Linked DNA regions of Oryctolagus cuniculus. The protein of the gene in region 4 interacts with the protein of the main gene of each other region in a biochemical or structural test. Links are inferred from orthologs where the notes say so. Each region holds a gene or a part of one and is shown on either strand. Other genes may lie near its edges.

Region 1 (3,585 bases), on a different chromosome or scaffold from region 4:
CGTTCACCACCAAGATCTACCACCCCAATGTGGATGAAAACGGGCAGGTCTGCCTGCCCATCATCAGCAAAGAGAACTGGAAGCCTTACACCAAGGCCTACCAAGGTGGGGCTGGGCCTTACCCCTGAGGGCGACACTGTTACTGGGTGGAGGAAGTTAGTGGACTTATTTTGAGTTAGACAAGCCTGAAAGAGAGGAGATAAAATGTGAGTCTCCGTGGAACCTACCGTTAGAGAGAAGGGGTGCCTCCTGAGATCCTGGATGCTCCTGGGCAGGTGTGACAGAGGAACTTGACCATGGACATGGGAAAGAGAGGCAGCGTGAATGCAGGGGGCAGGGCTTGGGACTAAGAAGGCCTGCTGCCCCATGTGTGGACTTAGGGCAAGACTCTATTCCTCTGTGGGACTCAGCACCCTAAGTGACAGTTGACAGTGGAGGGGATTGTCCTAACTGTGACAGTATTCATCCCTTAACTAAGCGCTGTCAGTGCACTGTGCAAAGAGCACTGTGAGCCTGCCCGCATCACCCCCAGGAGGTAGTGCTGTCATTAGCCCCATGTAATAGAGCCAGAGGCACATGAGTGGTGAAGCCGCTGCCTAAGGTCCTGTGGCTTGCAGATGGCAGAGCTTGGCTGACTCTAGAGCAGTGTTGTCCAGCTGAACTTGGTGCGGCCATGGAAATTTCCACAGCCCCACTGTCTGGTACCATCATCCCGGGCCTCATGTGGCTGTGCAACCAAGAAACAGAATTCTTCATGATGTTTTTTGTTGTTGTTTTTGTTTTTGTTTGTTTTAGGAAAGCTGTGGCCCATATAGGGGGCAAGATATTTTTTTAAAGGTTTATTTATTTTTATTTGAAAGTCAGAGTTACACAGAGTGAGGAGAGGCAGAGAGAGGGAGAGAGAGAGGTCTTCCATCCGATGGTCTACTCCCCAGTTGGCCGCAATGGCTGGAGCTGTGCTGATCTGAAGCCAGGAGCCAGGAGCTTCTTCCGGGTCTCCTCTGCAGGTGCAGGGGCTCAAAGACTTGGGCCGTCTTCTACTGTTTTCCCAGGCCATAGCAGAGAGCTGGATTGGAAGTGGAGCAGCCAGGTCTTGAACTGGTGCCCATATGGGATGCCAGCGCTTCAGGCCAGGGCGTTAACCTGCTGAGCCACAGCTCCCACCTTGTTCATGTTGTTTAATTTTAGTTAATTTAGAAAACTACATGGAGCTCCACATTGAACAATGGAGCTCCAGAACCCATGGGCTTCCTCTGGGTGCTGTCGTGTGTCTGGTCCAGCTCGGGAATTCTTAACCTGGGAAACAAGACTCTTGGCGTGGTGGTGGTGGGGCTGGGATGTGGGAGAGGTCCTAGGATGAGCCTCAGGGCTCTGTGGTGACGCACTGTTCACTCAGAGCTGTGTTTATGTGCGTACACATGTGTACTTGGGCTTCCACCTGCACGGGGCTCCCAAGGGCATCTGGAAAAGATTAAGTGCCATAGCAATAGGTTTTCCATCTTCAGCCTTAGAACCTTTTTTTCCCAGATAAATTTATTTGGAATCCCAGAATAACAACAGAAAACCAGGATGGGTCTTGTCGAAATGGGGCTGAAACCCCAAAATCTCTCTTATCTCAGTGACCCCAGAATGTGTAACTTTTCTGAAGCCATAGGACATAGCTGTTTGTAAAACACTGATCTCACCCGGCAAAGCTTTGGGCATCGTCCACCAGGAAGGGGAGGCAGTCTAAGAGATGGACTGTCCTTGGGGGTCCCCCTGAGCAGTGAGTGGGGGGATCCGGGGAGTGGACAGCCAGTGCCTCTATCCAGGGTTTTTCCCTCTGCCCTGATGTCCCGCTCTGGCCTCTCTCCACAGTCTTGGAGGCCCTCTACAATTTGGTGAATAGACCGGATCTGGCGGAGCCCGTGCGGGTAGAGCTGGCTGACCTGCTGACCCAGAACCCGGAGCTGTTCCAGAGGAAGGCAGAAGAGTTCACCCTCCAGTTCGGAGTGGACCGGCCCTCCTAAATTGGGTTTTGACCCCATCTGCGTGGGATCCTCTGCATGGTGGACCAATATACCTCACGGACTGGGGCTGGAGCCCCTGGATGAACCACTCCCCACTCAGTTTTTCCTTCTTAGGTTGCTAGCCATGAGTTTGTGTATGTGTGTGTGGCAGGAGGGAGGCTGTGGATGTGTGTGTGGTGTGAGGCCTCGCTGCCCCCAGGTTCACCTGGCCACAGGTGTGCCCTGCCCACTCCCTGAGCCTTCCCCACAGCCAAGGGGGTTTAAGTTTGCAGAGTGAACAGGTTAAATCTCCAGGGAGAGAGAGACAGGTCACATTCTAAGTCAGCCTGCTGGAAACCAGGATCCCTCCAGGGTCCAGGGCCCCAGGGAGCAGGGAGTATGGATGGGAAGCCGGGCTCGTGGAGGGCACTGTATTTCATATTTCAGTGGAGTGGTTGAAACCAGCCAAGCTACTGAGCGCCATGCACCGATTTAGGTGCTAAACCATTCATTTTCCATTTTCCACTGTTGAATCCTAAAACGAGGAGTCTGACCTCCATCCGGGGAGTCTGACTGTGTATTTTGACATTTCCTGCTATCCTGCCAGGTGGCCAGTTCCTGGGGACGGTAAGGCTGTGGCCAGCACCCGGTCCAGCAGAATCTACAGAGCCCAGTGCTTGCCTGGCCAGTGACGTCACAGATGGGGCAGGCAGTTGGCCTAGTGGTCAAGACCCTGGTTGGGATGGCCACGTCCCATACTGGAGTGCCTGGGCTTGAATCCCAGCTCTGCTCTCGACTCCAGCTTCCTGTTCGTGGGCACTGTGGGAGGCAGTGGGGGAAGGCTCAAGTGATTGGATCTCTGCCACCCTCCTGGGGGACCTGGATTGAGTTCCCAGTTCCTGATTCCCCACCCTTAACCCCCGCCCAGTGTCGGAGATTGAACCAGTGGATGGGAGTGCTCTCTCTCTCTCTCTAACAGAAATTAAACTTTAAATAGAAATGTTTTCTATGTCACAGGTGAATTCTGGGGTTGTGTCTCCAGTGAGGGGTGGGGTGGTTTCATCCATACCAGAGAGGGGGCTGCCCCGGCTGCTGCTGCCCCACAAACCCGTCGCCCTGCTTCCCGGACGCTGACCCCCAGCAGAGGTCCTCCGGAGTCCAGGGGCTGGGGGGCGGCCGTGTGGCACCGCGTTTGAGTCACTGCTGGGGACGTCTGTGTTCAAGTCCCAGGTGTTCTGCTTCTGATCCACTCAGCTTCCTGAATTGCCGGCATTTGGGAAGTGAACCCCCGGCCGGAACATCGCTCTCCATCTGTCTCGTGGTGTCTTGCTGTCTCTGCCTTTCACATGACACGAAAGTAAATAGGTTTTGTGAAAAGGTTCCCAGGGGTATCCACCGTTTTAGAGATGAGGCAGCCAAGGCACGGAGCGGCCCTTCGGTGGATCCCTTGGGTCCGTATTGCCAGTTAGGATGGACTCCACGCCTCCTGCAGCCACGCATCCTGGCTGGGGTTTTTGCTGTGTTTTTTTTTTTTGTTTGTTTGTTTTTCGTGATCTGCTTTCATCAGCACTCACACCGCAAATGGCTGATGAAGCCG
Region 2 (4,358 bases), on a different chromosome or scaffold from region 4:
CACTTCCGATCCAACTCTCTGCTGTGGCCTTGAAAAGCAGTGGAGGATGACCCAAGTCCTTGGGCCCCTGCACCCGTGTGAGAGACCTGGAAGAAGCTCCTGGCTTCAAGTCAGCACAGCTCCAGCCGTTACGGCCAATTGGGGAGTGAACCAGCAGATGGAAGACCTCTCTCTCTCTACCTCTCCTACACTGTGTAACTCTTTCAAGAAAAATTAATCTTAAAAAAAAAAAAAAGTAGTCTGTTTCAAAAACGAAGAATGGCATCCAGAACACAGCTGTGCCTTTAAAGTTCTTCCTTTCAAGTTCTTGTTTATGGGCCATTTACCTTGAGTCAGTCACTATACTAAATAGTGTACATAATGATTCATTTAATCATTACAATTGCTTGTGTTAGGTGTAATTAACTCCCTTTTACAGAGGCTGATGAAGCAGGAAGAGAGAATATTAAAGTTAGGGTCAGAGCTGGAACCAAGGTCTTTCTGATCCCAAATTGTGTGGCACCCTCACGGGGTCCCAACTTCTCTAGGGAACAGTTTAGGCAGTAAGAGTCTCGCAAACCGTAAGGTATTCTAACATCATGGGGGCTGCCTCTCACTATGAAGTGACATGTCTCTTCAGTCCAGATTCTCTCAAAAGTCCCTCAATTCCAGACTGGACAAAAAGCTGAGGGCACTTAGAAGGGGTCAAAGTCCAACCACGGTATTATTATTTTTTTTTTTTACAAATGGGTGAGCTGAGGGCTGGCCAGAGCACTGGCCCCACATCACACGGAGAAGGGCCAGGAACCCAGTTTCGGTCCGTGTTATTTCTCTCATAACTTCCTCTTTGCAGTTAAGGGAAGTAGGGGCACGCCTATCGGCCTTCCCCCACCTCTCGAATGGGAAACTGCCTCTCCCCAAGGTGGTGACCTGGCCAAGAACACACTGGCATGAATGAGGGCTGGAATCGCCAAGACAGACGTCGTCAAGAGGCCTGTTCTCACCGATAAGGCCCAAATCCTCGGTGCTTCCTAATCAAGGGCCTGGTTAACAGGAGGGACTGCGAGGGGGCAGAGATGAGCCTACAGAGGACCCGGGCTCCGCTACCCCGGCCTTCGGGGTCGAGCCCTGAGGGCCCCAGAACGTGAGCCCTCTTCCGGGACACGCCTTTGGATCCGCAGCGTCGCGGTGCACAACAGTCACGTCGGGCCCAGGGGATCCGCCGCGGCCCGCCCTCGGCCCTCACTGCCGCTCGGGCCTTTAAGGGCGGAGGACACACGCCGGCGTCACAAAGCGCCGCCACCGCGCGGGCCAGCCGGGAGGAGGCGGGGAAGCGGGAGAGGAGGAGGAGGAGGAGGAGGAGGAGGAGGGCGAGGCGGGCGGGGGAGGGAGGGGCGCGCGCACGCGCGTCGGGCCGCCAGCCGCCGAGAGCCGCCCCCCTCCCGGCGCGCGCCCCTCCTCCCTCTCTCCCTCCCTCCTTCTCGGCTCCGTCGCTCCCGCGGCGCGCGGCGCTCTCGCTCTTCGCCTCCTCCTCCGCCCCTCCCCCCGCGCAGCCGCCGCCGCCGCCGCCGCAGCCGCGAGACCCCCGCGCGCCGCGCTCCCCCCGCCCCCTCTGGCCCCGCGCGCCCTCCGGCCCCGGCGGCCCCCGAGGAGAACGAGAGGGCGAGCGAGCGCGGCGCTCCCGGGCCGTCGCGGCCCCCTCCCCTTACCATCGCCGGCCCTCCGCCACCTTCCTCGGCTTCCACCTTCTCTCCCCCCCCCCAAGTTGAGGCCCCCTCCGGGGGGGGGAGGCCCGGCACCGGGAGCGAATTCCCCGAACTCCCTCTGCCCCTGCCCCCACCCGGCCGGAGTGAGGAGAAGGGCCCGGCCCGGCCCGCGTCGTGTGTGAGGAGGATCCCGGGCGGGCCCGCGGGCCGACTGGGGCCTGGTCCGGCCCGCCGGCGGTGTGAAGACAGGGGCCCGGGGCGGCCCGGCTCGAGGGCGAGCGCAGGGGAGGGGCCTGGTCCGGCCCGGCCGGTGCGTGAGGACTGGGGCCCCGGCCCGCACGGCCGCCGCCGCGATGGCCCAGCAGCAGATGACCAGCTCGCAGAAGGCCCTGATGCTGGAGCTCAAATCCCTGCAGGAGGAACCGGTGGAGGGCTTCCGGATCACCCTGGTGGATGAGTCCGACCTCTACAACTGGGAGGTGGCCATCTTCGGACCCCCCAACACCCTCTACGAAGGCGGCTACTTCAAGGTACTCCCATCCCCCGACCTGGCCGCGCGGGCCGCGGCCTCGGCTCCCCACCGCCCTCGGCTGTTTTCGGGGGCCAGGAGAGTGGGCACGGCTGAGTGAGGGGGCTCCTCGCCTCGACACCCCCTCCCCCATCCGTGGAGGCTGGAAGGCCTTGCTCACCCAGTGCCTTTTCTTTGTCATGGGGGCGGGTGCGGGAGGCCAGACTGCACCGGGAGAGAGGGAAGCCTCTCGGACTAGGGTCGTGGCTCCGGGAGGAGGAGGAGGCCTGTCTTTGTTTGCTCCCCAGCCGAGGGGGTGATGGCAGGAGAGGGGGGCTGCCTTCCCCTCCCGTCCTCCCATCACAACCCTCCCTGGCGCAGCTGGAACTGCCCCAGAGGGCAGGGTGACCTGCACCTACTGGATTGGACTTTTCTTTTTTGGGGGGTGGGGGTGGGGGAGGGGCACTAGCCTGTCATTCCAGAGGCTGCCAGTGCCCTGACATTTTGAGCGTTTGTTGGGCTGTGGTGGTTGCAACTTTGCGTTCCAGTGGCGATATTGAAGAATGGGACCCTAGGGGTGGTTAAAAAGAAAGAAAAAAAGACGGAGGGGGGGGTGCCTGCGGGATTTTTTTTGGGGGGGGGCCATTATCCACTTGAGGGAACTTTAATTTAGCCCTCTTTCTGTTCTCGTTCTCTATTTACCTCGGTCAATGGTTCTTTCAAAAATGCCCTTTGTCCTCACCCAGGCTCCCCTGCCCCCCGTGTAGAAATATCCACAGAAGGTGCAACATGTCTTGTAGGGCGACTGGTCTTTTCCCACTTTGGGGAGACAAAAATTGAAACCTTTTGCTCAGGTGGCTGGTTAACTAGCAAATGGGGTTGTCGCCCAGATGAAAAGTATCATGAGAGATGAGGCGATTTCACTGGGTGGGATGGCTCCTTAGCGACCAGAGACATTGTTTCTATTGTTTTCCATGATTTTAGGACAGTGGTTATTATTCCGGAATCTCGTGATTTTGTTTTTTTCTTTTGACCCCCAAGGCAGATATAACTTGAGTTTTTGCTTTTGTTTTTACGTTAGCATTTTTAAAGACAAGAATCACAGATTGAAGATTTCATTGTTATAAATGGTGGGGGCAGATACAGAGGAAATAGTGTTTAGGAATGCATTTAATATTTTTATTTCCACACACAAAAAAATAGGCCATTGAGTCAATTTTAGTTTGTTTTGAAGGGAGGGGTTATCTTGGCACAAGTTTTAAATGAGTATCTTAGTCATGTAGTTGTGATGTGTATTTTTAGGACTACCCAATTACTTAACTCTTGTTTTCTATGCTTCTAAAGGTGGAAGCCTCAATTTCAGACTTGAAATTAGGTCAACTTTGTAGAAAATAGGATTGATATGGAAATGTTTAATATTCACAGCTGTGATAGTCACTGAAAAGCACATGTTGAGAATATTATGAAGCCAAACCGATGGCTTTGGTTTTTTTTTTTTTTCCCCGTGGGCCACAAACAGTATACTTTTCAGATGTAGATTTTTAAAATTGCTGAGAAAAGGTGCAAGTTACTAGTGGCGAATTGGAAACGATATTGCTTGTCTATGTTGTCAAATATAAGTTTTTGTTTACAGATACTGGAAAAATTAGTTTCACAGGGTGGAATTTATATGAAAACTTTTCTAGTAAAGTATTAGCAAAATCTGGCTAGTGGTAGTGGAGTAAAGTTTAATTTCCAAAAAGTAATTTTTTGGGCCTGGTAAGTGGGTACTTGTTAGACTGGCCTTACTCCCAGGCAGTTTGTTAAAGATTGCAAATGAAAGATCATGTACTGCAAACTATAATACTTTTGCATCAGTAACTGGGGAAGGAGTGTGGAAAATCCTCTCCATTTGGAATAGGTAGTGTGGAAAGATTCTTTGTCGTTTACACTCATTAAAACCAAATGCTTTTTAATTTCAGTCCTGTTTAAAAAGAATGCTTTAATGTCTGTTTTGTTATGCTAGATTTCTTAATTTTTGAATGTTTTTACTTTTAATTCTCAAAAAAATATGAAAATTCTTAAACAGGTTTTATGTTTTGATCATGGTGAGTTTATTCACTTAGATTCTACTTTTTCCTTCATTGAATGGCCTTTTATCCCATTAGTCATTTGTTGGAAAAAGG
Region 3 (3,643 bases), on a different chromosome or scaffold from region 4:
GTTTGAGATATTTTAAAATAGGTTTTTATACATATGCCTGAGCACATTAGGGCTTATTGCTTTTTTTTTTTTTAATACTTAATCTCATTCTTTGTTGCTCTTACCAATTTACCTTTAATACTTTACTGGTTTTAAGATGTTAGCATGTATATTTGCAGATGTATATATTGATTTTTAATTTCTTTTAAATAGTGCTGGGCCTAAAGGAGATAACATTTATGAGTGGAGATCAACTATACTTGGTCCACCAGGTTCTGTATATGAAGGTGGTGTGTTTTTTCTGGATATCACATTTTCATCAGATTATCCATTTAAACCACCAAAGGTAAGAACATATAAGTATATTCTTTAATATTCATTCTTCTCTGAAATCATTAATTCTAGGACTTGCTTGTATTCTGGTTGCATTTTATTTCATTATTTTTCATGAATTTATGTGGAATCTCACATGAAAGAATTTTAAAACTGAAAGTAATTGAGTCTTACAAATAATTTTGTGATCAACAGAAGGAAGGTGAATTGTTAATTGTAAATAAAACTATACTTTGCATATCAGTGAGGCAGATACATTTTGAACTTCTGAGGGAAAATATTCGGTGAACCTTCTCTAAGAAACATACTGGGACAAAAAACTGACAGTTTGCAGAAATGAGAGTTTAGTGTGAGTTTTATGCGAAATCCTTCATAGATAAGCAAAAACCTGGGAAACTACAACAGATACACAGGAAACTAGTAATGTGGCTGCGTGGGTATGACCTTGTACTGGAAGTGGAGGATGACCGGGGGTGGTTTCTGCCTGTTAGTGCTTCATTCACTTGAAATATGAATTACATGGCTAACAAAGAGAAGCATTAAGTTGTGCCTTGTCATAACTGTCAGTTTACCAGACTTAAACGTAACATAATTAGTTTACAAAACTTAAACAAGACACTCATGTGAATGGCTTCCTTCCTTTTACCTGTCAAGCTATATAAAAAAAAAAAAAAATGCCAGAACGAAATCAGAACACAATTGTACTTTTATTCCAGAGACGTTCAACATGCCAGGGGGAAAAGTGTGTTAGCAAGCCTATAGCCCTTAGCTGCTACATTATTCCTCTTATGCCCTATACTATTTAAGGTTTATGTAGAGGGGGAAGCATTTGACACAGTTGTAAAGATGCTGCGTGGTACGCCCACATCGCATTTTGGAGTGGCTGGGTTTGTCTCAGCTCCACTTTCAACTTTCTTGCTAATGTACACCCTCAGAAACAGAAGATGATGGCCCAAGTACTTGGGTCCCTGCTACCCGTGTTGGAGATCTGGATTGATTTCCAGACTCCTGGGATAAGATTGGGCAAGCCCCAGCTATTGTGGATATTTAGGGAGTGAACTAGCAGATTGAAAATCACTCTGCCTATGTGTGTGTGTCTCTGTCTTCCAAATAAATAAAATCTTTTAAAATTACAATTTATGTAGCAACTTGATGCATGTGTGTGTAATATATATAATAAATATTACGTAAAGATTTAAGAAAGATTCTGTCTCAGGAAAGCATTATATAATAAGGTAACAACAGTGCCACCTAGTGGTATTTACCTCAAGTTGCAGATGCCAAGGTCTGGATCCCCTACAAATATTTACTGTCAGTTACAGTTACCAGATTATTTTTGGAGTGTTTTTCTATGTGTTCCATCAGAATCTAAGATCTCAGCCGGCGCCGTGGCTCAATAGGCTAATCCTCCACCTTGCGGCGCCGGCAAACCGGGTTCTAGTCCCGGTTGGGGCGCCGGATTCTGTCCCGGTTGCCCCTCTTCCAGGCCAGCTCTCTGCTATGGCCAGGGAGTGCAGTGGAGGATGGCCCAGGTGCTTGGGCCCTGCACCCCATGGGAGACCAGGAAAAGCACCTGGCTCCTGGCTCCTGCCAGGATCAGCGCAGTGCGCCGGCTGCAGCGGCGGCCATTGGAGGGTGAACCAGCGGCAAAGGAAGACCTTTCTCTCTCTCTGTCTCTCTCTCACTGTCCACTCTGCCTGTCAAAAAAAAAAAAAAGAATCTAAGATCTTGAAGTTAATATATTTTTTACTGTTTCCAGGTCTATAGAATCCATCTTGCTGAATCAATTAAAAGGGCGAAACCCTAATTTGATTAACACCTTTAAATGTTAGTATAATGCTAAAAGTACTCTGTATTACAGGAAAACAAATGAAATTTTAGAAATACCTTATAACTGTATTTATAAGTAGTGATAACTCTGCCTAGTGTTCCATATTAGAATTGCTTTAAACATGTTAGCAAAACTAGGGGAAAAAAGCAAGATTTATTTTATACAGAATTATAACACTGTTAACATTTGTCCTATCAACTTAATGGAAAATGGGTTGACTAACATGGGTTTCAAACAGTTGTTCTGTGTGTGATTTATCATTTTGATTAATGCAGTTCTTTTCAAATTCAGCTTATTAATTTTTGAAATTATAATTTAATTTTCTAATTCTTTAATTTCTGTTTACTCCTCTTGCTAAGATAACTTATGTAGAATTAGGCATCACTAAGTTCTAAAAAAATGTTGGACATTTGAAACAAACGAAGTTTCTGCTATTAACTTGTTGGAACAATTATTTCTGTTTAGTTCCTGTTTTTTGAAGTTAAAAGTTGAACTTGTTGAATGATAAATATGTAATTCTCTTCTGTTCATGAATAGTATTTTTGTTCTCTAGTTATTAAGAGCTGAACATTTTCAAAATATTAATTTTATTTGTAAACCACTGTGTCTCTATTGAGTGTCAATAACCTGAATATACATTATTCCTCATTTTATAGAGCAGCACTAATAGAATTATAATAGAGACTATAGATAGAAGTTTAAATGTTCAGGTAGGCACAGTTAAAAATGGAAAAAGAGACCATAAACTTATATTTTTATTTACTTACTTTGAGAGATAAGAGAACAAGTTCCCATATGTTGGCTCCCTCTCCCAAATGCTCACAACTAGGTGTGGGCCAAGCTGAAGTTAGGACCTGGGAACTCAATGTCCCCTGCGGATGGCAGGGACCCACCCACATCAGCCGCCCCCTACTGCCTTCCAGGGTACACGACATCAGAAAGCTAGAACCTAAAATGGAGCCAGGACACTAAACCAGGCACTTAAATACTGGATGCAGGTTTCTTCAGTGGTATTTTTACTGCTAGGTCAAACAAGTACCCCTAAAATTAATAATAATTTGTTTTGGTTAGCCAAGTACCAAAACACTGTCATTTTCACATAAGTACAGTATTATTTCTGATGCCTTTTACATCATCTTTTTGCCACCAAGTTTTTGAAATCTGATTTTATACTTTGATGCTTTGGGTAGCCCCAGTTCAAAAGTTGTGTATTCACACATATGTAGTTAGTTGGTTTTGTATTGGACAGAGCAGTTCTAGAGGCTCCGCCTCTTCCCACACTGAACCAGTAAGCTATTCCTGTCTTTCCGTCCTCACCTTTCAACTACTGCCCCCTTTTCAGAAAGATACGTCTGAGAAATTTTAGTATTTTCTTTCAGATTCCATTTCAGAGCTCACAGTTCAGTGTTAACTTCCTAAAGGTCAGAAATTGTCTTTTTTTCCCCTCTGCAATCCCAAATTATGAACCACTCAATTAGTGTTTGTATTTGTTTTGAAACT
Region 4 (4,403 bases):
TCCCTCCTTAACTACTTTCATCACCTTGATCTGAACCTCCATCATCACTTCCTGGAATCTTGCAGGAGCCTTTCTGCTGGGTTTCTGGCATCCACTTTTCCCCCTAAACTCCATTCTCCAGGCGCTCCCATATAACATGTGGGCATACCAACCCCAGGTTCAGCCAGATGTCCCTGCTTAGATAGAAAAATCCTACCATTGCATTACAATTACTCATCATGATACAATTCAGCACAGGAACACGTGATAGGTATATTGTGGGCACTGTGCGGCTACATCCCATATCCAAGTGCTGGTTTGCAGCCAGGCTGCTTGGCTTCTGATCCAGCTCCCTGCTGATGCGCCTGGGAAGGCAGCAGCTGATGGCCCACGTGCTTGGGTCTCCACCCAAGTGGGAGACCCGGATGGAGTCCCAGGGGCAGGCGTTTGGAGAATGAACCAGGTGGATCACTCCTTGTGTCTCTGCCTCTCTCTCAATTATTCTGCCTTTCAAATACATATATACATACATAATGTTAAAAATGACGGATCCCCATTGTTAAGTGATGCACAACTATATACAACTTTATATACTCATACAATAAACACATTTCGATATTTAGTGACATTTATTATACACAAATATGTAAATTATTCACCATCAACAGTACCTATCGGTAGCTTTGGGATCTGCAAGGAGGAAGGCCTATACTTCCGGGAATGGAGAAGTCCCTGCCTGTACCTGCGGGGAAGAAAAGTCCTTGTCAAGGTCCCTGCGGGTGCCTAAAGGTCAACCAATGAGGATCAGACCCGCCTCAACCTTTAACCCGTATGCCCTGAATCTATAAAAGGAGCTCTCCCAATCTCTGACGTGCGACTTCCCCGCCCCCCGCTCTGTTGCTCTGTTGGGGCCTTGGAACCTCGCCCGGGTGCGTCTGCCTGGGAAGATTTGTTACGCGCTGGACACCTTGCACCTATCATGTTATATAGGATGTAGTCGTTATATGTATGCTTTATCACATATAATTTATGTCATATAGCCATAGATATCATTATAATATACTTAAATGTGGGACCATAATTTTTACTTATTTGATACGTTTATAGTCTATCTCTCACGCTGGAATGTCCGCTGCATAACGGCAAGGAAGACGAGCCAGCACCTGGCCCACAGCCATAAATGTCACATGAACAAACTTCGTTGGTCACCTAAGCCTCAACCTTTCCATCTGCAGGATGGGTGTGTCTTTCCATCTGGGGGCACCTCTACGTTCCATTCCCTCTTCCCATCGCCTCAGAGCAGGGATCCAGGAATTCCACAGCCCAGGCTTAAATTTTCTCATAGTCGGGGCGCTGATGCCCACCACGTGCACCAAGCACTAGCCAGAGGGGACTACCAACCCCAGCATGCCTCGCGCACTGGGGCTGTACCACAAGCTGTAGGGGTATCTGGAACTGAAACTTGAGCCGGCGGCACGGGAGCACGCGCGCTCGCCCCTCTAGCAATGCGTCGGTGGTACATCCCAGGCCCGGGGCCCTCTAAGGCCCCGCGCTTCCGAGCTCCGCGCAAACTCTGGCTCTCTAGTACACCGGAGGTGGTTTTCTCTTCCGTTGCCCCGTGGCTTCGGCTCATCTCCAGCAGGAAGGCGAGGCTTCCGCCCGGCGTAGGGGGTGAGCTGGAGCACCATGCCCCCAAGCCCCTGGACAGCATTTGGAGAAGGGTGCTCCCCTAAACCCCAACTTCGGGGGTCCCCTAATGGGTGTATTTGGAGCCTCTGGGCCCGGGATGGTATTTAGAGGTGTCTGCTTCTGAGGAGACCCTTCCGAGATGGCGTTTGGGAACTCTGGGGCGGGATTAGGGAGTCTGTTTTGGAAGTACCCCCTCGGACGCTGGTTTACGCAGGTAGAGGCTGGGGGGAGGTGTTTGGGTCCGTGCATGGGTGCCCTATCTGTGGGCAGCATACGGGCTCTTCCGCAAGGGGAGAGTGGAAGTTTGAGGTTACTTAAGTCAAGGCGGGATTTGGGCAGGGTTTGCTTGTTTCGGGACGGGTTCAGGACCAACGTGGCATTGTGGGGGTGTCTGTGGTCTTTGTGACTTCTGGGTCTCTGTTGAAGTCCTTGAGCTTGGCTCCTCGGGACGGTGAGCCTGGACACACCAGGGGCCCAGACCCCGGGAGAGGACCCCCTCCAGCTCAGGCTGGGAAAGGAACTGTCTGCCAGGCTTCTCCTGAGCGGACGTAATGCCACCGGGCCTTCTTTGGCTGCGGCTTCATTCATTATTCATGAGGAGGAGGGGCTGTGGTGGGAAGCTGATTGCCTTCTTCGCACCTGGTGTCCCCTGGAGGTCTGGGCTGTGAATTGTTCACGAAGCGGCGGATCAGGGTGCCGAAAGGGAGTGCTGAAAGGGTGTTCTGATTTTGCCGCCCAAGCTAGAGTTTACTGATCATTCACAGAGGTGAGTAAGTAGCGCCCGGAGTTTTCTGTGGCTTTTCTAGGGGTATTGTGCATAATTCACAAGGGGCGTGGCTTCCACCCGCCTCTTCTGCCTGTTCCGTGGTTAGCTTTCCCTTATAGGTTCCAGGGTTTAAGCCTTGCCTCTAGCGAAGGGATGAGGCTTCGTGCACTGGACATTTTTTATGGGGCAGCCATCGCATATTACCAGCGGAGGCTCTGAATTCAAATCAGTCCTTGCCAGTGGTGTGATGTTTGGCAAATCTTTCTGTGAACCTAAAAAAGGTATGAGGATAATGATTCGCTTCCACTCATTTAGCTACTTTATTAGCCTAGTTAATCTTCACAACAATCCTAGGAGGTAGGTTATTATTAGCCCACTTCATAGATGAGAAAACTGGGGCACAGTGATACTAATTTGTCTTAATGTTACACGGGCAGTGAGTGGCTAAGCCACAATTCAAACCCGAGGAGAAGTCTACGTCTAACGTCCGTAGTCTTGGCAACGCAGCGTCATAATGCGTCCCCCGCCCTATATAAGAGCGCTCCTCCTAATGCTAGTCCTATACCACTTAACTATGTGTCAAGCACCGTTTTGAGTCCTTTCTACACATTAACTGATTTAAACATCCATCTCAAGGTAAGTTACCGCTGTAATTCCCATCTTATAGATAAACAATAGCCCAAGTTGAGAATTTCTCTACTGGCTGGGTGTATATACTTACACATAACTAATTTTATGCTAACAGGAATAAATATTTGCCTCTTAGCTTTATATTAATATATCTATATTTTAAAACGCAACAGTGCCTCAAGCCAGCACTGTTCTAAGGTTCGTTCTGTAATTCACGGTCGCTGCTTTCCGTAATAGCTCATTTTATCTCTATGAGGTGCATGCGTTCTGCTACTGTCCCCATCTTAAGACTCTGGAAACTGAGGCACCTGCCAAAGACCTGTGAGTCTGGATTTGGTTGGACTAAGGCAGCCCTGGTTCCTGAGCAGTTAGTCGGGGAGTGTTGAGGCTACACTCCCCCTGGGTTTTCCCTGTGGCTCTGTGGTGTCTTCTATTGCTCGCGAACGGGAAGGCGTGGCCATGTTGCCCTGACTATAGTATCTTAATCCCTATTTGCTGGTTGGCGCTGTCTCGAGTGTTTCTGTCCGCCTAGTCTCATGCATAATTCATGAAGTGGGTGGGACCTTTCTTGACCTCTCAGTCTCCAGGTTGAGCTGCTGCAGTAGCAGTATTCATTATTCAGGAGCAGAGGGAGTAGGTGCTCCCTGCGGTAGCCCAATTTAGATGCAGCAATAGGCGGGCCCGCCCCTTTTGTTCCAGCCCACTGGGCCTCATGCATTATTCATGATTAAGCTGTAGCTTTGGTCTCCTTGGCTTCCGGGCTGCTGCAAGATCATTCATTATTCATGAGCAGTGGGGGTGTGACTTCCATGTTGTAACGTCGGCTTTCTGGCTTCTGGGTGTTAGTCTACCATCTACTCGGCTGCAGTTACGACTTGTGATCAGAAAGCATGGCCTTGAGGGCCTTTCTTGGTTTCTGTTGCAGCGTGGTGGCAGCAATTCAGTCCTTCGCGTTCCATGGGGCGTGGCCTCTGTTTTACCTGTTTTCCTAGTTATTGCTGCCGTAGCCACCAGGTGGAGCCGTTCCTCTTCTAAACGAATGAGTAACAACCTGCCAGGGAAGATTATACATGATTCATGAACGGGCGCGGCGTTCTTGCATCCGGGTTTCTGGGGGTGGGACCCAAGGTTTTGTTCCGGCCCTGGGCTTCGTGGCCGCCATCTTGTGTCGGCGGGTGAGGTGAAGGAGGTAGCAGGGACGACCACAACCACAACGGCCGGGGGAGGAGGCAGCGGCGGCGGCGGCGATTCTAGGCGGCCCAGGCGGTGGGGAGAAGGAGGAGGGTGGCGGCCGGGCTTGGCTTCGGCTCCTTGAGGAGTTGGCGGCGGCACGACCCGG
Region 5 (3,643 bases), on a different chromosome or scaffold from region 4:
CTGCAGCAGGACCCGGCGGGTGACCAGCGTTTGAAGAACACATGACGCGCTCCGTGGCCCAGCCCACAGCACAGTCTCACGAGAGACCCCTCTGGCCAGCTTCTCCTGGGCAGTATCTCCCACAAGACCTTGTCCAAGACACTTACAGAGCGTATTTCTGTGTCCACTCTCTTGCTAGTCTGTTGTACCTGGAAGAAAAAGCAGAGGGAGTGACACCCCACTTGGAACGGTCACCTCCTCTCAGCGTGGGGCGGAGAGCAGGAGTGTGCGGGGGGCGCTGGGTTAAGCAGCCAGGGCTGCGGGCAGGCAGCTGCCTCTGAGTCCTGGTGGTTCTCGGAAGAGACTGGCTATGGAAGATCGCCTAAGGCAGCAGAGCGCCGCCCATGCTCTCCGCTGTCACAGTGTGCGCGCAGGGAGAAGAGGGGGAGACATTCACAGCCCCTCCGGGAAGAGCTCCAGGCAGCCACTCCACAAGCCCACAGCACAGGCGTGGGCGGCTGGGGCGGGGCCGCCTCTGCGCCCTGGCCTCCCTGGACGTCTGCCCGGGGTGGTAGCGGGGAAGACTAGGCGAGTGCGCGCGCGAGACCTGCGCGGCAGGCCTGGCACCAGGGAGCACCGTGCGTCATTACTGCTGTGAGATCTGTGCAGACTCCGGTTAGAGAACAAGGGAAGTCACTTGATGGGGGCCAGCACTGTGGTTCACGGGGTAGAGCTGCCGCCTGCAGTGCCAGCATTCCCCGTGGGCGCTGGTTCGTGTCCTGCTGCTCCACTTCCAGTCCAGCTCCCTGCTGATGGCCTGCTGATGGTGCACGTGTCTGGGCCCCTGCCACCCACACGGGGGACCTGGCTGGAGCTCCTGGTCCTGGCTTCGGGCTGGCTCGGCCCTAGCTGTTGTAGCCATTTGGGAGTGAGCCACGGATGAAGCATCTCTCTCTGGATGTCCCTCTCTCTAATTCTTTCAAATAAATAAATAAATCTTAAAAAAAAAAAAAGAAGAAGAATATGCCCCTTGGGTCACCCACATCCCACACTGGCGTGTCTGGGTTCAAGTCCTGTCTCAGCGTCCCGCCACGTGTACTGTGGGAGGCAGCAAATGATGGCTCAAACGCCCGGGGCCCTGCCACCCACGTGGCTGCTGGCTTTGGCCTGGCCCAGCCCCTGCTGTTGTGAATGAAGGAGCGAGATGTTTCCATCTGCTTCTGTCTCTCTGTAATTCTGCCTTTCAAATAAATATTTTAAAAAGTCCTAATGTTAAATAAGTTAATTAAGTTACATGTTAAATAAGTACAATTTAAAATCTAGTCATTGAAAATTATTTTATCAGGAAACTTCAGTGGAAATCAGATCTATAAAGGTCTCAAACATACAAGTTGGAAAAACGACATTCTCATCTCTTCAGACAGAAGAGGAGTGATGAACTAAAAGCTCACTGAAAATACTCTTAAAATTTACCTATTCATTTGAAAGGCAGAGTTGCAGAGGGAGAGAAGAGGTCTTCCATCCACTGGTTCACTCTCCAAATGGCCACAACGACTGGGGCTGGGCCAGGTGGAAGCCAGGGCTGGGGGTTTCTTCCAGGTCTCCCACGGGGGTGGGATTTGGGCCACCCTCCATTGCTTTCCTAGGCCATTAATGGGGGCTGGATCAGAAAGGAGCTTCGGGACTGAACCAGCGCCCACATGGGAGCTGCAGTCGCAGGCAGTTTTACCGGCTACGCCACACCAGCCCCGGGAGAGAAACATTTTATTCACTGGTTCATTCCCCAAATGTTCGCGAAGCCAGAGCTGGGCCAGCCCACAGCCAGGAGCCCAGCCCTCCACTCAGGTCCCCCACTGTGGTGACGGTGGCCCTTCACTGGAGCCCCCGTCTCCTGCCTCCAGAGTGCACCAGCAGGAAGCTGGACCGGCAGGGCCGATGGGACTCAACCAGCACTGTGCAGCACCCAGCACCCTTCCCCAGCGACACACTGGCAGGGCCCCCAGCCACACTGCCCTTCCTCACTGCCGTCGGCACTCAGATGAACGCCGACCCCCGGCCTGCTCCGCCCACCACAGCTGCCCCATTCCGCAGCACACGTGGCTGTGGCTGTGGCTGTGGCTGTGGCTGTGGCTGTGCCTGGCCGAGGGCGCTGCACTTCTACAGTTCCACGCGTGGCCGTCAGTGTTAAACACAGCAGGCGGTCTCAGGGTCCGTGAAACAGAGCACAACACTCGGCTCGCAGCCGGCCAGCTGGCCACGGCAGTGTCTCCCGCCTGCCCTGCCGCTCGGCCTCACCTGGTGTGTCCGAGCAGCCCCCCGCTGTCTTACGCTAGACTTCAGCATTTACTCCAGGTTTTCTTCTGCGTGCACTCTCGGCTGGCCACTGACCGCCGGCCCTGAGACCAGAGCTCGGCAACGGGCTACCGTGTAGAAGCGGCAGCGGATGCGCTGTGCAGGAGGTGAGGAGCCGGCTGCTCGTCTCCTCCCTTGGAGCCAGAGGATGTGTTAGTGAGAGCCAGGAGCCCACGCCCCGGGAGCCGCAGCGTGGCGCCCGGTGCTGCCCGGGGCAGCGGCAGCACAAAGGCAACCCGAGAGGACGCGTACTTCTCTCTGTCGGCCTTGTAGGTGTGGGCTATCTCCGGCACCAGTGGGTCATCGGGATTGGGGTCGCAGAGCAAGGAGCAGATGGACAAGAGAACTGGGGAGAGAAGAAAGGGTCCGTCAGCTGCAGGTGCGCCTGGGTCTGGGAGGCCCCGGGCCGGCTGCGCGGGTGACGGGTGGCTGCCGGGGCTTCAGCAGCCCCACTGGACGACTCTGCGGGGCACCCAGGGCCCGTGACAGAAGGCACTTTGCCCACACGGAGGGCAGCTGTCACGTCCCAGTGTCCCAGCACACTGCTCCGGGGGGCTCCCCCCTCGTGCCGCCGGTCCTCACCCCCCTTCCCAATGGCGCCCTCCTGGTCCCAGCCCAATGCTCCCACTCTTGTCTGCCCCACACCACACCCCCTGGCATCTGGTCCCAGCCACGCTGCGCCTGAGAAGGAAACAGGGGGTCAGAGCAAGGGGAAGCTGCCTTGGAACGCCTGGGCGGCCCCTCCCCGGCACCCTGCTCCCAGGCTGCACCGGCAGCAGCTGCTCAGCGGGCTTGGGGACTGCTTCACAAGGGTGAGCCCTGTGGACACCGCCCGCCCCCGCAGGGACCTGCTGTGTCCCGCAGTCCCACGGCTGCCGCCTCAACCGCCTTCCGACGCCGCCCTCGTCGGCTGCCCGAGGCTGCAGCGCTGCACGCCCCCTCCACCTGCCGCTTGTTTCTTGGGGCGACTTCTTCCGCGGGACGGACGGTGCTGTCTGCATTCGGGGCTCGCCCCACTCAGCCCTGGCTGCTCTGGTTTCTCTGCTGACGTGGAGGCCCTGGGCCAGGCCTTGGACCTCTTCCCTCAGACTGGATTTCTCAGAGAGGTGAACCGAAGGCCAGGTGACATCTGGCTTTCTTATTTTTAGACAGGAAGTCCAAGTAGAATCAATTCTGCCTACACCAGGCCACACTGGGAGCCCCTCATGGCACCGACTGCTAGAACTGCTGGGTGGGCCCGGCGTGTGGGCACGGGGGTGGCTGGCACTGAGTGGTCAGGGAAAGCCACTGCTCTGAGCCTGCTCGTCTGCCC
Region 6 (4,361 bases), on a different chromosome or scaffold from region 4:
TTTTATTTCTCAAAGTCATACCAAGTTCTAAAGGAGCCACTTCCCTCTGTCTCAAATCCTTGTCTGTGGCTGCTGTGTCTGGTAGGGTCCCAGGAGCCCGGGGGGACTGGAGGAAAAATGAAGTGGCAGCAATGCCAATGTGGAAGCCAGTTCTTTCTCGCTCAGAACCCAGGACTTGAATCTCCTCCTTTTCCCTGTCCCAGTGACCCTTAGTGCTTCCAGCCAGAGCCGTAGGTACACAATGTTACATGCAGAGGCGGTTTCCTGGGAAGGTGGGTCACAGGTTTTATCAGCTTCTCAAAGAGACCTGCGACCCTCCGATGGCTAGGAAGCGCTACAACAGGTTATAATGCCTCCGAAATAAAAGGTAAAATAGTCCTCGGTCAGGGGACTTCATTTCTTGTAGACCATAAACAGGAGGCGTGCCGGGCCTCTGGTTGAAACAATTACGAATTTCAAGATGGTGACAGTAGCAAGTTAACCAGGCAGGGAGCCCCGTGTGACTACACAGGTGTTACCCTAACAGCCTGCCCAACTTCATTTCGGGGCTACCTTGCGTGTGCCAGGGACTGGGTTCGACGCTGAGGATTCCAGATTAAGGGTGGGCTTCCCAAACTACCTAACGGGTCCTGGGGAGACAACTCTTAATAAGAAGACAGTCCCACTGGGCGGAGAGCGAACTAAGAGGAAGAAGGTATCAAAATAACGACAGGTGCCGAGCAGAAGAGCTAGCATAGGGCGTGACACAGGGGGGCTGAGAGGCCACTTCACAGGTCAGGTGGTCAGGGGGGCGCTCCCTGACATCCAAGACCTTTCATGAAAACAGGGGCCTACGTGGGAAGCCGCGAGGGCTAGCTCAAGTCCGGCAAAGAGGCCAAAGGCGGGAAGAGGGAGAGACGGTACTCAGGTGGGGCAGGGAGCCCAGGAGTGGCCGGCAGGGGCCAAGCCGTCCTGGCTGCACGGATGCCCGGATCGCAAAGGAGGGTCCCCGCCTGGAGAAGCGGCGGCCGGACTGGGGCGTGGGCCGCGGGGGTGCCCCGGCCCGCTGTCAGGTGCACCGGCGGCCGCCCCCAGAGGCCGGCGCGCGTCCGCGGCGGCGCCGACGTGGCCGGCGGGAGCGGCCGCGCACGTGTCTGGCCCCAGGCCTGGGGGCGGGGGCGCGCGCGGGGGGTCTCCGGCCTCTCCTCGGGTTCGGGGCCCGGGAGCCGGCTGGCCCCCAGCCTCCCGTCCGCCGGCGCGAGGAGCCGAGCAGATGGGACGGGCCGGGGTGGGGGCTGGGTCGTGGCGAGGAGGGGGCGGGCGGGCGGGCGCGCGCACCGGCCACGTGCACGCGCGGGGCGGGGAGGGGAACGAGGGCGGGGTGGGGGGCGCCCTTTTCCAGGCGGTGGCGGGGGCGGCGTCGCCGCTGCCCTTTTAAGCCGCGGGGCCGCCGCCTCCTGCCGGTGGTGGAGTCGGTTACAAAGGGAGCGGCCGCCCGCCGAGGCCTCGGCGCCCCCCTCGCCATTTTCCTGCCGCGCTCGGACGCGGGTGTCGCGGCGGCGGGGAGAGGCGGAGCCGCGAGAGCACGGCCCGGGCCGGCCCCGCGGGGCGGTCGCGGCCGTGACGGCGGCTCGGGGCCCGGCTCCCCTTCCGCAACCCCTCCCGCCGGAGATGAGGGGAAGATGTCCGTGTCAGGGCTGAAGGCCGAGCTGAAGTTCCTGGCGTCCATCTTCGACAAGAACCACGAGCGGTTCCGCATCGTCAGCTGGAAGCTGGACGAGCTGCACTGCCAGTTCCTGGTGCCGCCGCCGGCGCCGCCGCTGCTCACGCTGCACTGCAACATCACGGTGAGGCGGCCGCGCGGGGCCGGCGAGGGCGAGGGCGGCCACGGGCGCCCCAGACCTCGCACAAAGGCCGCCGGCTCCCGGGCGCGGGGCGCGGGGCGCGGCCGGGCGCGCGGCGCTGCCCTGAGGCTCTTGGCCCCTCGCGGCCCCCGTCGCCGCGCCCGCCCGAGTCCTCGCCGGGCGCCATGGCCGCCTGCCTGCCTGCTTGCCTGCCTGCCGTTGGCGTCGGCTCGGCTCCGGCCGCGCGTTTGAGCCCAGACGGGGAAAAGGGGAAAGAAAGAAAAAAAAAAAAGGCCTTGAAGTTTTTAACCGGAGCATTCCGGGGCCGGATTTCCGGCTGTGTGTGTAAGTTTGTGCGTGGAGGACGGGGTCGCGAGAGGGGCTCGGAGCGGCGGCAGGTGGTGGGCCGGCCGGGCCTGGCCGCTGCGCCGCCGAGGCGCTGACCGGAAGGACCCCCGACGCCGAGGAGCCGGTAAATCTCCTCCCCGGGGGTGCGGCGGCCGAGCCGGGGGGGACCCGGGCTGGACGCCCCGGGGTGGTGTCGGGTCCCCTCTCGGCGCTGCCCGTGGGGAAGTGGCCGGGAGTGGGCGGGCGGCCTCGCAGGTGGGGTGATGGGGCTGGCGGTGGTCGGGCGGCGGTTCTAGAAGAGAAATAAACAGGTACACCTGGGCGGGGGGCGGCTCTGGTTCGCGGCGCCTCGGGCCGCGCTGGGAGCTGGGCTTCCAGCACCGGGCAGGGCAGCCCCCAGCCTTGTGGGGAGAAGAGGGGCAGCCACGGTGCGTGGGTGGAGGTGTGTGGGGGTGTCCGGGGAAGCCCCGGGGCCGCTCAGGTGCGCCTGGGCGAGGAGCGCTCCGGCTGGCCGTGGTGGCTTTGGGCGCGTCCCGGAGCTGCACACCCCACCCCACCCCCCAATAAAAGGACTCCAGAGCTCGGGCAAGTGTGGGTCGCTTGGGAGTGGACAGTGTGTGCCCCCCGGTGTAGGCTGTGCAAGGCCAAGTTGTCTAAACAGGGGAAGCCGGAAGTAGTCGTGCGGGTGAAGTGGGTGCTAACCCGGGGAGACTGCTCTGGCCAGGCAGGGCTGGTTCCACGGCCAGGACGGCCGCCGAGTGACTCAGGCCAGCTGGACAAGCAGTGGCTGGCACTAGGAGGGCTGTGTGTGTGTGGGGGGGGGGGGGTGGGGCGGTGCCGCTGTGCCGGTCCGCAGCGCCAGGGGTACCGGGATGGGGCGGTGTGCCACAACAGAGCCCTCCCACCTCGGCTGAGAACCGGGTGGGGGGCTGATGGTCCTGAAAGTCCGCCACAGGCCAAGGCAGTGAGCGATGACCCGGATTCAGTAGCGGCAAGGAGTGCAGTAGACACTCAGTGGAAGATGCGCTGGGGGGGACCGGGGTGGTGGTCCGGCTAGCTGGGGACTGTTAGCATTGAGGTGCAGGTGAGTTGGGAGGGGGTTGTCATGGTGCATGCCCAGTGTGTGCTGACCCTTCATCATGGGAGGGCGTCAGACACAGGGAACTGAAAGTGAAGAGAAACTCGAGGGGCCGGCTCCAACAAGGGTGCATTTCTGGCCAATCTTAATGTCGTCTGTACCCCACTTCGGATTCTTCTGGAGCAGATTCCAGACATACCACTTCCTGTTCAAGTAATTTCAGTATTTATTTCTAAAAAAAAAAAGACTCTTTGAAGATGAGTGACTATTTTGATAAAATCTGTGTGGTTTGTTCATGTTAAACTATTTGCTTAGAATGGAAAGAGCAAGGAAAAAAATGCATCTGGATTTCACATACCAGGATCTGTCCGTGGGGTTTGTGATTTGTTATTTTCTAAAAAAATTATTATTATTAAAGCATTTGATGTGTTTAACTTTTGCTCCTCAGGCGGCCTAGCTGTTGATTAAGCTCATCTGCCTGTCAGGCCTTGTCTTCTCCACGCTTACCAAGAAGTGTTCCTGTGCAGTTTTCGTGATGTTTGAGCAGATACGATCACACCAGTAGCTTTCTTTTTCCCAGAAGACTTATTTGTTCATTTACTTGTTTATTTGAAAGGCAGAGTGTGAGAAAGGGACAGAGGAGGAGGAGGGAGGGGGGAGAGAGGAGGCGGTGGGGAAGAGAGCTTCCTTCCATCCATTGGTTCCCTCCCCAAATGGCCGCAACAGCCGAGTCTGGGCCAGACCAAAGCCGGGAGCCAGGTGCTTCATCCAGGCCTTTGCCAGGCGCATTAGCAGGAAAGAGGGTTGGGAGCCGAGCAGTGCAGACTGGACTGGCGCCCTGATGTGGGACGTGGGCATCCCGGGTGGCAGCTTGGTCCGCTGTGCCGCAGTGCCTGCCCCAGTGGGGTCTTCATGCACACGCGTGCCTGTGTGCGCCTTTTTCTTTCAGGCTTCTGTCTGATCTGGTTTTCCCTTTGAAACATGCCCGTGACAGCTGCCCCTTACTGTACCTGGGTCTGTCTGCCAGGTCTGATTGTCCCTCAGGGCTCTTCTGGGTCATACTCCGTTCAAGCTGATACTTCCCCTCCCTCCCTTTAGGCCTTACGGTTTCT
Region 7 (4,411 bases), on a different chromosome or scaffold from region 4:
TACTCAGTCAAGCGCAACCTCTCCCTGACCTTCCCTGCGTCTGCTTAACAGTACCACGGTCAAAGTCAGGAGGGGGAGACGGGCAAAGAGCTGGGTAGTACAGTGGGCAAGGTGACCAGGTAACTTCACCCAGCCTGGCGCACTCCGACACTCAGAAAGCGTCCTAACAGCTAAGCTGAACAACGCGCATCGGCTGGGATTTTTCCAGCCACTCACTACCTATCAGCACTGTAACAGACACCTGCTGAAGGCTCTGCTCCACTTCACTGTGTGACCCTGGCTGAGCCACTCACTCCCCTAGGGTCTCCACTTCTTCACCTGCCTAATCAGAGAGGCGAGCTGAATAATCTTTTATACTCTTCCAACTTTATGGGCCAATTTCCCGAAGCCCCCTGGCTCCCCATCAAGTTACATACCTTGGTCATGTCAACAGTATCGGGTACGACGAACATTCCCGGAGGAGGCTCCTTATAAATGGACATGATATCCCTGGTAACACCAAGAGGAGGCGGGGAAAGAGTGAGGGGAGGGGAAGGGGAATCCCTTGAGCGGGACAATTGTTATCGCCTCAGTGAGGCCAGGGTTTGAGAAAGTGGCGCTTGGTACCACAAATGTTTGCACTGTCTTGTTGGCTGAGATCCTCAGCTGAGTACTTATCAGGCAGGCAGAGAGCAAATTATCATCAAAGGGACATTGTTTCATCAGGGGGAGGGCAGGGAAAGGAAAGAAAAAAAAATATCAGAGATCCCAATGTTATCAGATGTCACCCTGGAAAAGCCACATCCCATTTACTCTCACTTCCTCCCACATGGCGACTCACCCACTTCCCACCTCCGAGGTTCCCAGGTACTACGGCAGACACCACACGAGGATTTTTTAAAGAAACTCTGAAGGCACAATCAACTCCACTAAAAAACCGAATTCCATAACCCATGCAACCTCTCATGTGCAGAAGATGACATGAAACAAGTGAGCTGGCGAGGAGCAACCCCATCACGGCGGTCTTCCAGCTCAGGGGACTAACAGAGCGGCAGCTTCTCTGGGTGGGGGGAGGGGGACCCTCTGAAACCGCTCACCCTCTCCTATCTAGAGGAACATGTGATTACTGCAGATGAGAGGATGTCAGGGTCACGGCTCACCAACTGGATTGGGCTAGCTGAGAGCAGGGGGCTAAAGGACATTCCAGGTAGGGAAAAGGCCAGGGACCTGCTAGGGGAGGCAGGAGTGTAAAAAGTACAAACGGTGGCAGAGCAAGGAAGGAAGTCTTAGGCCGAACTCAACAGTATGTCAGGATCAGAAGACTGACAGGAGCAAGGGAGTATACAAGAGTTGAGGTTCAAGTTTAAGTTGGGGGCAGCAAAGCCCAGAGAGTTGGTATCCTGTGTCAGGCACTGTGCCAGGTGCTTTACGCACACTGTCCTGCTGAACTTCTATCACAACCTTGAAAAGCAAGTAGAGAGACAGATGAAGGAACTCGGAACCTGGGGCTGCACCTGGAGGAGGAGGAGGAAGAGGAGGAGGAGGAGGAAGAGGAGGAGGAGGAGGATCGTGACGGGAGTGTGGGCAGCAGTCTGGTCATCTGGAAACAGATTTCAGGATTCACGGCAGCTACACAGTACTACTCTCTTCCTTATGTGATGGGTACCAGGCTATGCACTTCTGCGAAACATTTTATCTATGAAGTGATATTATCTCAAATCAGTCACCCAAGAAATAAGCACAGAAAGGACTTAGGCCTTTGTTCCTGTAATTAAGCTGAATATATTTGCTTGAGAAAAGTAAATCAAACAATCCAGGTGTGTGGGTGAGGAAAACCCGTAAGAAAGAAGGTCCTGAGTGGGATCTTACAATCCAGAGAGACCCGGGGGTGGGCGGGGGAGGCGTGCCTGAGTGTCCTGAGCAGGTGTGAGACTGGAAAAGGGGTTCGAGGGAAGATCTGGGTGAGCCAGGGAACCCACCTAGACCTGGGAAAGTACTAACTAGGAGGCGGCTGGAGATGCAGAGATAAAGGGAAGGAATGGCTGGAATCTAAGGCACGGTAAAGCCAGCTAGGTTATGTGTTAGAAACTGGGCTCCCGAGCGCACAAGAGGGACCCAGGGGTGGGGCCTGTGGGCAGCATCTAGTCGGGCCGGGGTGGGGAAGCGGGAGGGGGTGTCACTGAAGCGCCAAAGGGTCGGGTTTCGGGCGGGAGGCAGGGGGTGGGGTGGGGGTGGGGGAGGGTGTCCGGCTCCGAGATGCGGGGCTCGGGGGAGGCTGCCGAGGGGCGGGGTCCGACCTGGGCACACGAGGAGGGGATAGGTGCTTGGGGGGCCGGAGGAGAAGAGACTTGGACCCCGACGCTCCCTGCGGGCAAGACTTGGGCTTTGGAGCCTGGCCGCCTCGAGGCAAGCGCAGCGGGCTGGGGGTGAGTTGTAGTGGGAAGGGGTGGGGGGCGGGGAAGGTCGCGCCCCGGAGCTCGGGGCTGGAGGAGGAAACACCCCAGCTCACCGCTTGATCCGGAGTAGACACTGCGGCGCGGTTCGCTCGCCGTCCCAGTCAGAGCTGAGCGTGGGGTCCCAGTGGCTAAGCAGCGCGGCCCCGTGGGCAGCGGCCGAGGGCGGGAGCCCCGGCAGCGGAGCCAGGCCGCTCCCCGGCCCCCCGGCCCCGCCCGCCGCCGCCGCCGCCGCCCACACATCCGGCAGGAAAGGCGGCCCGAACCCGCCGCCGCCGCCGCTAACGCCAACAACGCCAGCGACGCCGCTCGCCCCGGGGCCCGCCGCCCCGGCGCCTGCCGTCGCCGTCGCCGCCTCTTCAGTCGGACTCTCCGCCATCGCTGCTTCGCTTCCGGGACTGCTCGGCAGCACGTCCGCCGACCAGAGCGGCCGCTGCTCCCGCCCGCTCTCGCACCACCGAGAGCCGGGCCAGAGTGTCCCCACCCTCCGCTTCCACAGCCCGGGCGGCGCTGGCTCCGCCCACCCCCGCCCCGACCAGCGAGAGGCGCTCTGCAAGAGCGTCCACCCACGGTCCTCCAGGGCCGGGCGGGGGCGGGTTGGGGGGGGCACTAGCGGGCCGAGCCGAGGGTTCTGGGCCCGCGGTGGCCGTTCTCCGTGCGGGAGCGACGGAGAGCCCGACTGCGTGGAAAATGTTATTTTCAGATGCTGAAACGGGGAAAGAAAGTTTAAAGAAGCGGCGGAGTGGGCTTAAACTCCTTGTTTACCGAGAGGGTGGCGGAGACGTGCGTCTGGGACGGGACTGGACGTAGGGCTCGCCGCGGAAGAGGTGACCGCCTGCGGGCCCTTCGCGGGCGCGAGGCTCCGTGGCCGAGCCTGGCGCCCGGCACCGTCATGCGCCCAGAAAGAGGAAGGAGTCGGGACTGCACGCGAGAAGCGGCCTCTCTTGTTTGAGCGTTGGTCTGAAGGCCCCGCCGAGGGCCAGGCGCTGCCCTGGGGATCGAGCAAGAACTCGAAGGAAGAAAGAGCAGGCCTCCCGACTTTTCCTGCCCGCAAATCCTTAAACATACAAGAACCCAGGGAATGCGTATAAATCCTAAGAGGATTCCTTAGGACTTTTCTGAGATCTTTCAAGTGAAAAGTAATCCTAAGGACTAAGAAAAACAGAGGCCTTCCAAGAAAAACTTTGCTTCTCCCTAGCAAAAATTACAGGCTGATGACCATCACCCAGAAAGCAGTAGGGCCAGACGCGTTTCCGATTGGAGAGCCAGGGCACGGGTAGCCGCCAGCAACCAAACATAGTGATGTTTCTTCAGAAAAGTGTATGAATAGCCCTACTAATTTGGGCACGTTACGAACATTGATGCCAAGGAGGGGAGCGTCACTTTGGATTATACTTGCTGCCAGAGGTGTGTTTTAAAACAGGCGTTTGGGTTCCAGAGGTCTGGATTTCCAGTAGTGGACCGTGGCCCTGAATGAGGATGAAACAGCTAAAAAGTTACTTCCCTGACGTTTCTTGAGTGCTTCTATATCCTGGTACTTTATTATTATTATTTTTTAAAGATTTGCTTATTTGTGTGTGAGAGAAAGAGGTGTTCCATTCGTTCGTTCACTCGCCAAATGGCCGCAATGGCTGGAATTGAGCCCATCAGGAGCCAGGAGCTTCTTCCGGGTCTCCCACCCGGGGAACAGGGGCCCAAGGACTTGGGCCATCTTCTACTGCTTTCCCAGGCCACAGCAGAGAGCTGGATCAGAAGTGGAGCAGCCTGGACAGGAATCAGCGTCCCTATGGGATGCTGGTGCCGCAGGTGGAGGCCTGATCCACCAGGCCACAGTGCCAGCCTGTACTTTATATCCTTTCAACAACCCATGAAGTAAGAACCATTATCAGAAATTGTTCTGACACCCACACAGGGTCATGGTGGGCGGAGCTGAGGCTGTAAAGCAGCCAACCGCTGTGTGACACTGACACCACTGGAAC

The links.
Region 1: of the proteins of UBA1 (region 4) and UBE2L6, one has a biochemical effect on the other in vitro, tested with the Homo sapiens proteins (2 studies listed by BioGRID). The link is inferred for Oryctolagus cuniculus from reciprocal best matches to the Homo sapiens genes UBA1 and UBE2L6.
Region 2: of the proteins of UBA1 (region 4) and UBE2R2, one has a biochemical effect on the other in vitro, tested with the Homo sapiens proteins (5 studies listed by BioGRID, with this or other methods). The link is inferred for Oryctolagus cuniculus from reciprocal best matches to the Homo sapiens genes UBA1 and UBE2R2.
Region 3: of the proteins of UBA1 (region 4) and UBE2E3, one has a biochemical effect on the other in vitro, tested with the Homo sapiens proteins (3 studies listed by BioGRID, with this or other methods). The link is inferred for Oryctolagus cuniculus from reciprocal best matches to the Homo sapiens genes UBA1 and UBE2E3.
Region 5: of the proteins of UBA1 (region 4) and UBE2D4, one has a biochemical effect on the other in vitro, tested with the Homo sapiens proteins (4 studies listed by BioGRID). The link is inferred for Oryctolagus cuniculus from reciprocal best matches to the Homo sapiens genes UBA1 and UBE2D4.
Region 6: of the proteins of UBA1 (region 4) and UBE2Q2, one has a biochemical effect on the other in vitro, tested with the Homo sapiens proteins (3 studies listed by BioGRID). The link is inferred for Oryctolagus cuniculus from reciprocal best matches to the Homo sapiens genes UBA1 and UBE2Q2.
Region 7: of the proteins of UBA1 (region 4) and UBE2Z, one has a biochemical effect on the other in vitro, tested with the Homo sapiens proteins (3 studies listed by BioGRID). The link is inferred for Oryctolagus cuniculus from reciprocal best matches to the Homo sapiens genes UBA1 and UBE2Z.

Annotation. Positions count from the first base shown.
Region 1 is NC_091432.1:14,577,964-14,581,548, forward strand, and holds the end of UBE2L6 (ubiquitin/ISG15-conjugating enzyme E2 L6), read left to right. Parts: coding exon 1-105; intron 106-1,857; coding exon 1,858-2,009; 3' UTR 2,010-2,992; downstream 2,993-3,585. UniProt on the Homo sapiens protein: Catalyzes the covalent attachment of ubiquitin or ISG15 to other proteins. Functions in the E6/E6-AP-induced ubiquitination of p53/TP53. Promotes ubiquitination and subsequent proteasomal degradation of FLT3.
Region 2 is NC_091432.1:196,852,904-196,857,261, forward strand, and holds the start of UBE2R2 (ubiquitin-conjugating enzyme E2 R2), read left to right. Parts: upstream 1-1,462; 5' UTR 1,463-2,038; coding exon 2,039-2,215; intron 2,216-4,358. UniProt on the Homo sapiens protein: E2 ubiquitin-conjugating enzyme that accepts ubiquitin from an E1 ubiquitin-activating protein, and catalyzes its covalent attachment to other proteins by an E3 ubiquitin-protein ligase complex.
Region 3 is NC_091434.1:59,872,464-59,876,106, reverse strand, and holds part of UBE2E3 (ubiquitin-conjugating enzyme E2 E3), read left to right. Parts: intron 1-192; coding exon 193-325; intron 326-3,643. UniProt on the Homo sapiens protein: Accepts ubiquitin from the E1 complex and catalyzes its covalent attachment to other proteins. In vitro catalyzes 'Lys-11'- and 'Lys-48'-, as well as 'Lys-63'-linked polyubiquitination.
Region 4 is NC_091453.1:32,724,594-32,728,996, forward strand, and holds the start of UBA1 (ubiquitin-like modifier-activating enzyme 1), read left to right. Parts: upstream 1-1,468; 5' UTR 1,469-1,650; exon of another isoform or gene 1,651-3,070; intron 3,071-4,153; exon of another isoform or gene 4,154-4,403. UniProt on the Homo sapiens protein: Catalyzes the first step in ubiquitin conjugation to mark cellular proteins for degradation through the ubiquitin-proteasome system.
Region 5 is NC_091447.1:51,544,566-51,548,208, reverse strand, and holds part of UBE2D4 (ubiquitin-conjugating enzyme E2 D4), read right to left. Parts: intron 2,678-3,643; coding exon 2,584-2,677; exon of another isoform or gene 2,275-2,583; intron 189-2,274; coding exon 143-188; 3' UTR 1-142. UniProt on the Homo sapiens protein: Accepts ubiquitin from the E1 complex and catalyzes its covalent attachment to other proteins. In vitro able to promote polyubiquitination using all 7 ubiquitin Lys residues, but may prefer 'Lys-11' and 'Lys-48'-linked polyubiquitination.
Region 6 is NC_091443.1:106,476,416-106,480,776, forward strand, and holds the start of UBE2Q2 (ubiquitin-conjugating enzyme E2 Q2), read left to right. Parts: upstream 1-1,457; 5' UTR 1,458-1,661; coding exon 1,662-1,826; intron 1,827-1,985; exon of another isoform or gene 1,986-2,295; intron 2,296-2,301; exon of another isoform or gene 2,302-4,361.
Region 7 is NC_091448.1:25,120,955-25,125,365, reverse strand, and holds the start of UBE2Z (ubiquitin-conjugating enzyme E2 Z), read right to left. Parts: upstream 2,919-4,411; 5' UTR 2,812-2,918; coding exon 2,489-2,811; intron 490-2,488; coding exon 417-489; intron 1-416. UniProt on the Homo sapiens protein: Catalyzes the covalent attachment of ubiquitin to other proteins. Specific substrate for UBA6, not charged with ubiquitin by UBE1. May be involved in apoptosis regulation.